Linked DNA regions of Rattus norvegicus. The protein of the gene in region 1 purifies or fractionates together with the protein of each later gene. This does not show direct contact. Links are inferred from orthologs where the notes say so. Each region holds a gene or a part of one and is shown on either strand. Other genes may lie near its edges. The genes, in order: Snx33 and Dnm2.

Evidence for each region.
Region 2: the proteins of Snx33 (region 1) and Dnm2 purify together in Homo sapiens (co-immunoprecipitation; 3 studies listed by BioGRID and IntAct, with this or other methods). This does not show direct contact. The link is inferred for Rattus norvegicus from reciprocal best matches to the Homo sapiens genes SNX33 and DNM2.

What each region holds. Positions count from the first base shown.
Region 1 is NC_086026.1:66,220,684-66,225,285, reverse strand, and holds the start of Snx33 (sorting nexin-33), read left to right. Parts: upstream 1-1,776; 5' UTR 1,777-2,684; coding exon 2,685-4,155; intron 4,156-4,602. UniProt on the Homo sapiens protein: Plays a role in the reorganization of the cytoskeleton, endocytosis and cellular vesicle trafficking via its interactions with membranes, WASL, DNM1 and DNM2. Acts both during interphase and at the end of mitotic cell divisions.
Region 2 is NC_086026.1:28,253,225-28,257,612, reverse strand, and holds the start of Dnm2 (dynamin-2), read right to left. Parts: upstream 3,025-4,388; 5' UTR 2,917-3,024; coding exon 2,756-2,916; intron 1-2,755. UniProt on the Homo sapiens protein: Catalyzes the hydrolysis of GTP and utilizes this energy to mediate vesicle scission at plasma membrane during endocytosis and filament remodeling at many actin structures during organization of the actin cytoskeleton.

The DNA.
Region 1 (4,602 bases):
AGAGAGAGAGAGAGAGAGAGAGAGAGAGACTGAAAGAGACAAACATACAGGATCAGAGACACACAGAGAGAGATAGAAACAGAGAGACAGTGTTTCTCTGTAGCCCTGGCTGACCTGGAACTCACTCTAGACCAGGCTGGCCTCAAACTCAGAGAACCACGTGTCTTTGTTAGTGCTGGTACTGAAGGTGTAGGCCCAACGCTGGGAATGTCCTTGATATGTATTACACTCAGGCTGGGACAAGTGTCTTCCCATGGCATTTGGCTACACTAGACAGGAACACCTTGCCTACCTGTGAGGATACTTATGACCTTCCAGAAGATAAGCATAGTTGCGGTTAACTTGTTGGTTGGGATATATAACTTAATGATGAGACAGACTGTGTGAATTACAAACCAGAGGGGCACAGCAGCAATCCAACTGTTGAGATTCGCTCCAGAGTTCAGGGCAATTCCTGTCTTAAATAGCGCTCATCTAGTTTTTGCATAATCTGGAGGGTCAAATCCTGGAAGCCTAGAGGCTATCTACCAGACCACTCCTCTCTCCTAGCTATTTGCTGCTGGCCTGAATGGAAGATCGGGCTCCCGCGAAAGGACAAAGCAACCAGAATCCGCCTGTGCCTAAGCTTGTAACTTGTCAGTGCAGAAGTTTGTGGTCTTACGCACTCCCCCCTCAGCCCCCCCACCCCCACCCCCCACCCCCTAGGAGCTGCCTAAGGCAGGAGGGCTCCTCTCCCCAATCAGGCTCACAGCATTTGTTATCACGTGCAGGACACCAGGCTGGGAGCTTACTGCCTCCACCCTCTGAGAACAATCCCGGAGCTGTGTTAGTCCCTAGACAGATAAGAGTACCCGAGGCTGGAAAGGAGGCTGGGAGAAGGGAGTCCGCAGCTCTGTTCCCCTGCAGTTGGGGCGGTTCTCCTAGCTCCCTCCTCGCCACTCTGCGCTCCGCAAACTTTCGGAGTTTTCCTGCACTTGCGTCACGGAAAAGGCAGATGGATGACCAAGTCAAGGAGGCGAAGCTCGGCGGCGGCTGGCGAGCTCCCCCGCGCGGCGCTCCAACCCCAGTGAGAAGCTACTCTGGGCGCCCGCAACTCGGCTGCTGAAAGCTCGCAGCTCCCCGACTCCCGGGTCCATTTCCTGGATCCTGGCCACCCGGACTGAACCCGAGAGAGAGAGGGCGCCCGCCAGAAGGAAAGTGAGCGGAAGGCCGGCGGTGGCACCCTGGCCGCGGGAGGGAGGAGCTGCGCGGTCCCAGCCCGGCCAGGACGCACGGAAGTGCGGTAGAGTTTGTTGAATTCCGTAGCCTGCTTTCCCTCCCTCATACCTCCCTTCCACCCTCTCTCTCCACCCCTCACCTCCCCTACAGTTTTAACCTCCTTCCTCCGAACGCCACCTCCTGGACTCCCTTTTCCCCCTTTTCTCTCTCTTTTTCTTTTTTCTATTTCTTTTTCTTTTTGTTGTTGTTTTTTTGTTTTGTTTTGTTTTTTAAAGGAGGTTGTTTGTTTTGGACCTGGCTTCCTGCTGGCAGCGCTGAAGGGCTGCGAGTGAGGGGTAAGGAGGCAAGAGGCTGGGTCTCAGCTACTCAGCTAGTCCCTCTCGGGTCGTATCCTGAGGGCATCGCGGAGAACGAACCTACAGACGGTCCGACAAACACCCGGCCACGCCATCTATTCGACAGAGCTCTATCTACCGACTGCTGTTGAGTGTCTGGGGGCACATCAGGGGCAGGGATGGTGATGGTGATGGTGGAGGTTTCTACTAGCTTTACTTCTGGACAGGGGTTCTGGGTCTCCGATCCGGGTCAGCTTCGTACTCTGAAACTGCCGAGGAATTAGGCAAACAAAAGAGGCACTGAGAGAAAGAGGCCAGAAGTCCTCTGCGCCGCTTGTCGCGCCCCCTTGTTATCTGGGGGTGGGGGCTGGCCATTTGCAGGGCGGGAAGAGGGCACCAGAGCGGGTGAGACCGGGTCGCACCCCCTAGGTCGAGTAGTTATCGGCTGGTTGTGCAAGCTTTGGCCCTTGTTTTCCTGGCCTGGCTCGTTTGGAGGCCGGACACATCCACCCTTGGAATTGGTTCAGGACTCTGCTGTTATTCTCCTTGCCCCTCTTGGATTTTCTGGATTCTTGAAGACTCGGTGGCCGGGGAGGAGAGAGGAAGGAGGAAGGAGCAGATCTTCAGAGGAATGTGAGAGCCTCCCAAAGCCGGAGCAGCCAGTAGGAGCGGAGAGCCAGGAGAGGCAGAACCTTGCCTGCGTTTCTGGGACCGTGGTCTGAGGTTAATTCTCTTCCTTTGTACAACATTGTTCTAGTAGAAAGTGTCTGTCCCGTTCTTGTTCTAGCAGAGCTGGTTTCTCCAAGTCATTTGACTTTTCTGCTTGGTGTGTGGGGAGGGAGAGACTCGCTCCTTTTCATGGGCTGCAAAGGGAGAGGAGAAAGACTGCGGCCATGACCAACCCCTCCCTGCATACAGGCAGATACCCCAAGGCTGTTTCTGGACCATGGACACTTCTTTGACCAAGAGGCAGTTAGACAGCATCTGTGCAGCTGAGACCCTGTCCAAGGGGCTCAGTAGGGCGTACTAGACTTTGAGCTGCAAGCACTTTTCTTTTGGACTCCCTGCTGGACAACCTGGGTCTGGGCAAGGCATTTTCCTTCCAGTCTTGACCTAACAGATAACTTAGCCATGGCACTGAAAGGCCGAGCCCTCTATGATTTCCACAGCGAGAACAAGGAGGAAATCAGCATCCAGCAGGACGAAGACTTGGTTATCTTCAGCGAGACCTCACTGGACGGCTGGCTGCAGGGACAGAACAGCCGTGGGGAGACAGGGCTCTTCCCTGCTTCTTACGTTGAGATTGTTCGTCCTGGCATCAGCACCAACCATGGGGACTATTCCAACAGCCCTGCAGGCTCCCTGGGCACCCAGGTGAGTTTGTATAGCAGCCCTAGTACGGCCAGTCCAGCCAGGAGTAGTGGGGGCAGTGGCTTCCTCTCAAACCAAGGAAGCTTTGAGGATGATGATGACGATGACTGGGATGACTGGGATGATGGATGCACAGTGGTAGAAGAGCCACTGGCTGGTGGCCTAGGTACCAATGGACACCCTCCACTTAACCTCTCCTACCCGGGTGCCTACCCCAACCAGCATATGGCTTTCAGACCCAAGGCACCCCTGGAAAGGCAGGACAGTCTAGCGTCTGCCAAGCGGGGCAGTGTTGTAGGACGGAACCTCAATCGTTTCTCATGCTTTGTACGCTCTGGAGTGGAGGCCTTCATCCTTGGTGATGTGCCCATGATGGCCAAGATTGCTGAGACCTACTCCATTGAGATGGGCCCACGTGGGCCTCAGTGGAAGGCCAATCCCCACCCATTTGCCTGCTCCATAGAGGACCCCACCAAGCAGACCAAGTTCAAAGGCATTAAAAGTTACATCTCCTACAAGCTTACGCCCACCCACGCTGGCTCACCTGTTTACCGCCGTTACAAACACTTTGACTGGCTATACAACCGCCTTCTGCACAAGTTCACAGTAATTTCAGTGCCCCACCTGCCTGAGAAGCAGGCCACAGGCCGCTTTGAGGAGGACTTCATTGAGAAACGTAAGCGAAGGCTCATCCTCTGGATGGACCACATGACCAGCCACCCTGTGCTCTCCCAGTATGAGGGCTTCCAGCACTTCCTCAGCTGCCTGGATGACAAACAGTGGAAGATGGGGAAACGCCGAGCAGAGAAGGATGAGATGGTGGGTGCCAGTTTCCTGCTCACCTTCCAGATCCCCACAGAACACCAGGATCTGCAGGATGTAGAGGATCGGGTGGACGCATTCAAGGCTTTCAGTAAGAAGATGGATGACAGCGTCCTACAGCTTAGCACTGTAGCAGCAGAATTGGTGCGGAAACATGTAGGAGGCTTCCGCAAGGAATTCCAGAAGCTCGGAAGTGCCTTCCAGGCCATTAGCCATGCCTTCCAGATGGACCCTCCCTTTAGGTCTGAGGCTCTCAACAATGCCATTTCTCACACTGGCCGGACCTATGAAACCGTTGGAGAAATGTTTGCTGGACAGCCCAAGCATGACCTCTTCCAAATGCTCGACACACTGTCTCTCTACCAGGGCCTACTCTCCAACTTCCCTGACATTATCCACCTGCAGAAAGGTAAGCCCTTCATGAGTCTACTGGTCTCTGGGAACATGGGAGAGCCTGGACTATGAACAGCTCATCACACTCTCCTGTCTGCGTCTCCTTCGCTGGCTCAACAAGTGTGTTGACACGGTTCTCTGGAGAGTGCTGTTGTAGGCAGAGGGAGAGTGGGGACGCTTTGGTCTTTGTTCTTACTGAGCTCTGTGAATGCCTCTTGTCCATTGCGGTCATCGATTTGTTTTGGTTTCTTTCTTTCTTTCTTTTTTTTTCTCCTGTGTCTCATTTATCCCATCATGTATGGAACCCCAAGGTATTACTCTGAGTTCTGGGAACACAGAGATAACCAGGTCCCAGGTCTTGTCTTAGATGAACCCATGGGTTCAAAGAGGATCAAGACACAGGTAAGAGCACACTGCAGGTTATCTTTCCCCTCTCAGAGGCTCTCTCTTCACAGCCTCTAAG
Region 2 (4,388 bases), about 38 Mb from region 1:
TTTCGGGCTCTGTAGACATCTGGACCTCATGCGAAACCTGTTACATTTCAAGTCCTTGGCCTCCAGGGTTAGCAATCTGTATGCAAACCTCGGCAAGGGGCTGGGCCAACTCAGACGTCCTAGAGTACACTAATGTTCTTAGAAAAATCTAAGGCGGCACTGACAGGAAGCAGGCTGAGCTGTCCCTAGGTGCTTGGCACACTCTCTCCTTTGCTCCTGGCTGACAGCCAGATGTCCACTGATGGACATTCAAGAACAGCAGAAGGAGGAAACAGCAGTAGGGTCAGAATAGACTCTCAGTTCTGACTGTTTAGTAAAATTCACATCAGGAAATAGAGAATGGGACTGAGTGGGACCCTCTTACCGAGGCCGCATAATGCAGGTACATTATGGCATTCTAGAGTAATCACTATGTCTTAAGCCAGACATAGTGGTGCATACCTGATCCCAGCACTTGAAAAATGAAATCTGAAAACTGCTGCTACAATTCTGGGGGCCAACCTGTGCTATACAGTAAGTTCCAGGTCAGCCTGGACTACAGTATGAGACTGTTTCAAAACAAACAAACAAACCAACAACAACAAAAAAAAAAACCAGGAAGGGTGCTGTACACCTTTAATCCCAGCACTCAGGGGGCAGAAGCAGGTGTGTTCAAGGCCAGCCTGTCTATGTTGTGAGATGCTATTTAAAAAACGAATCAATAGCTGGGCTTGGTGGCACTTGCCTTTAATCTCGTCAACTGAGGTAGAGGCCAGCCTGGTGTACAAAGGGGGTTTCAGGACAGCCAGGGTTCAGTTACACAGAGAAACACTGTCTTAAAAACAAAACAAAACAAACATGGATATGTGCATATGCATATACATAAAATGTTTATTTCAGCACCTAAAGCCACAGTCATAGAAAGATCTCTGAGTATGAAGCAATCAAAGAAAACATAAATATCGATAATATTTGTTATCAATTGGTGCTGGGAACTGACCCCAAGGTCTTATTCATGCTAGGTAAGTTCTCTATGTCTGAGCTTAGCCCACAGCTCTCTCTTGGCCTTTTTTTTTTTTTTTTTTTTTTTTTTTTTGAGACAAGGACTAACAATGGAGGCCAGATTGACCTCAAACTCAAGAAATCTGCCTCAGACTCCCACGTCCCTAAGGTCACAGGTTCAGCCTAAATAAACACTTCCAACAACCCAGTCCCTGCAGCCTTGCATCAACTTTGAAGGTTTTTGAGACAGGGTCTGACTATGTATCCCTGGCTGCCCTAGAACTCTATGTAGAGTGAGCTAGCCTCAAATTTAGGGATGCCCTGCCTCCACAAGACTGGTAACAAAAACACACAACACAGGGTGTGTGTGTGTGTGTGTGTGTCTGTCTGTCTGTCTGTCTGTCTGTCTGTCTCCGTCCCAATGTTAGGGTGAGGCAGAGAGTGGTGGATCACTGGAACTCACTGGCCAACCAGACTAGCTGATCAGTGAGCTTCATGCTCAGTGAGGGACCATGTCTCTAAAATTTAAGATGGGAGGACAAACGCCTAATGACCAGAGTTTGATTCCCCAGGACCCACAGAGAATTGGAAGGACTTTACAAAGATTATGTCCCCTGACTCCACAAGTGCACTCTGGCACACACTTGGACACACACACACACACACACACACAATGATAATGTCCACAGCAAAGCAAATGTTATCACTGGGCACACACTGCAGCATCATACATGGAGCACTTCCTGGAATGGAGAAGTGCTGCTGTGTGCAAGGCAGAGGGGGAGGGACAGGAGTAAATCAACATCCCTTCTTCACTCACTTCCTGGATCCTACAAACAGCTGCGAGTGGAATTTGCCCACTGGACAGATGGAAGAAGCTGAGGCTCCCAGAGCTGTCTGGAGAGCATTCCAACTGGGAGGCTTTAGCTTAGAAGTCATCTGACGGGTTTGGGGATCCTGGGCCAGGAAAGAACCCTACAGAATGTTTCTTCCCAAGTTCCCTGAGTTCTGTCACTCAGAGAGGATGGACAGGCAGGGGTGCCTGGGCGGTAATGGAGAACAGACTAATGGATGGATTCACTTGGAAGACAAGAGTCAGTCGGCCCAAGAGAACCAGATAACAAGAGGCTACCAAAGTTCAGCAGGTCAGATGGCAGAGGCCCACTCAAGTAAATAAGGGGCACAGATGGGCATTCGCACACGAGAGGTCACCTCAGATGGCTAGCCAGACAACGGTGGACCTCAGAGTGGGTCTGGACAGATGGGACAACCAAATGGTGCCCGTAGGAAGCCTGTTCAGAACGGATAACCAGCTAACCAGACAAGAGAGAAGGCTCCAGATAAATAACTGGCCAGACAGACCCCAGGGGTCATCCCCCATGGATGGCTGGGTGGCAAGTGTTATCTTCAACAGCACACACACTAAGACTTCCAGGCAGCAGGAGAAAAGAGGAGTGGATCACCACAGATCACAGGCAAAGCGATGTCAGAGTTACCCAGCGATAGCCGGAACTAGATGCACCAAGAGAGGTTTGCATTGACCGTCTTGCCCCAAACACCACCCACGATCATCGACTAGTACCAGACCTGGATCTCCATCTCCAGTCTCTGAGAAAAGTCATGGAGACTCTTGCCCCAGACCTTACCCAATGCCACCGGTCCTGAGGCGTCCGCGAGCCGCAGTTCCGCCATTCCCCGCCCGCCCTCCGCGCCCTAGGCCGCCGCCCGCCCTCCCAGCCGGAGCCCCAGAACCGCCGCCGGCGCGCTCGCTCACCGGCCCACGAAGTTCTCGAGCACCGAACTCTTGCCGGCGCTCTGGCCGCCCACCACGGCGATCTGCGGCAGGTCCAGGTGGCAGCTCTGACCGATGGAGCTGAAGGCGTCCTGCAGCTTGTTAACCAGCGGGATGAGCTCTTCCATCCCGCGGTTGCCCATGGTGCCCGCCTCCGCCCCGCGGATCCCCCGACTACGACTCGCGGTCCCGATGCGTCTGTGGCCGTTGCTTCCTCCTGCTCTGCTCTGCCAGCCCGCCCGGGCTCCCCTTCGCCGCGACGCCCGCTCCCGGCTCGGCCTCACAGTCACCGCCTCATCCGGTTCTCAGGCGACACCCGACCCGAGCAACCTCCCCTCCCGGCCTCCGGGGTGGAGCCCGCAGCCCTAATGCTATATCTAATTGGTCAATAGCACTGCCACTCAAGAACGTGAGCCAATAAAAAAGGCACGAGGAAGGGTTAATTTCACAAGTTCACTGGGTAATAAAACCGTCACTCTTAAATGAAAGCCAATAGAAATCGAGCCGGGTTGTCAGACCGGGAAGGCGGGGTCTCTGGGAAAGACATTGAGGCCTCAGCTCACGGATGCGCGTTGGCTTATTGGTCACACAAAACGTCAACCTGCCAATAGTGTAAGGAATCAATCCTTCTACACTGGATTGTCACTTGACACTAGTTAATTCCGTAAAAATTTCTCATTGGTTGATATAAATATCACTTCTCTACTCCAACCAATAAGAGAAAAGAAGAGCCGTAATCTTTTTATACAGTTTCTATACAGTTTCTGTATGCTGGCTACAAACTCTCGATGTTCCCCCTGTGTCCACCACCCGGTCTTGCTAGGATACACGTTACTAGCGTCCCAATCCTGACTGACAACCGCGTCATAAAAATTCTTTCAGCTTTCCTGGCATTTTTTAACACTTTGTGATATTCTTTTAAAGCAAAGGGCCACAGTACTCAGGGAGGCGAACATCGTGGATAAGGTTCAGTGATTGTCACACCTGAATTCTGAGGCTGTAGTGAAAACTTGTATTTTAGAAAGCCTCACAACTCCTAGCTCTGAAAGAATCCCAATGCCAGTGAAGATAAGTGGACACTTCTGCCTCACAGAAAAGTACTCTCGTCTTCTCATGCCTGTATCTGTATATTACTAAGGATTGAGTCTACGGTTTCATGAAGCTAAGCAAATGTTTTACCAGTGGCTACAACTCTAGGGTTATTTTTACTTTATTTTATTTTTTGCTCCAAGAGCGATGGCTCAGTGGTTAAGAGTACTCGCTGCCTTTGGAGCAGACTCAAGTTTGGTTCCCAGCACCCACATGACAGCTCACAACCATCAGTGAGTCCAGTTCCAGGAATCTGACACCCTCTTCTGGCCTCCATTAGTATCAGACACAGACATGACACACATACCTACATGCAAGCAAACACACCGATGTACAGTTTTTTAAAAATTCACATAACATTTAATTTTTTAGAATTATCTATTTATGTATAGGAGTACACTGTAGCTGTCTTCAGACACACCAAGAGAGGGTGCCAAATCCCATAACAGATGGCTGTGAGCCACCATGTGGTTCCTGGGAATTGAACTCAGGACCTCTGGAAGAGCAATCTGTGCTCTTAACCACT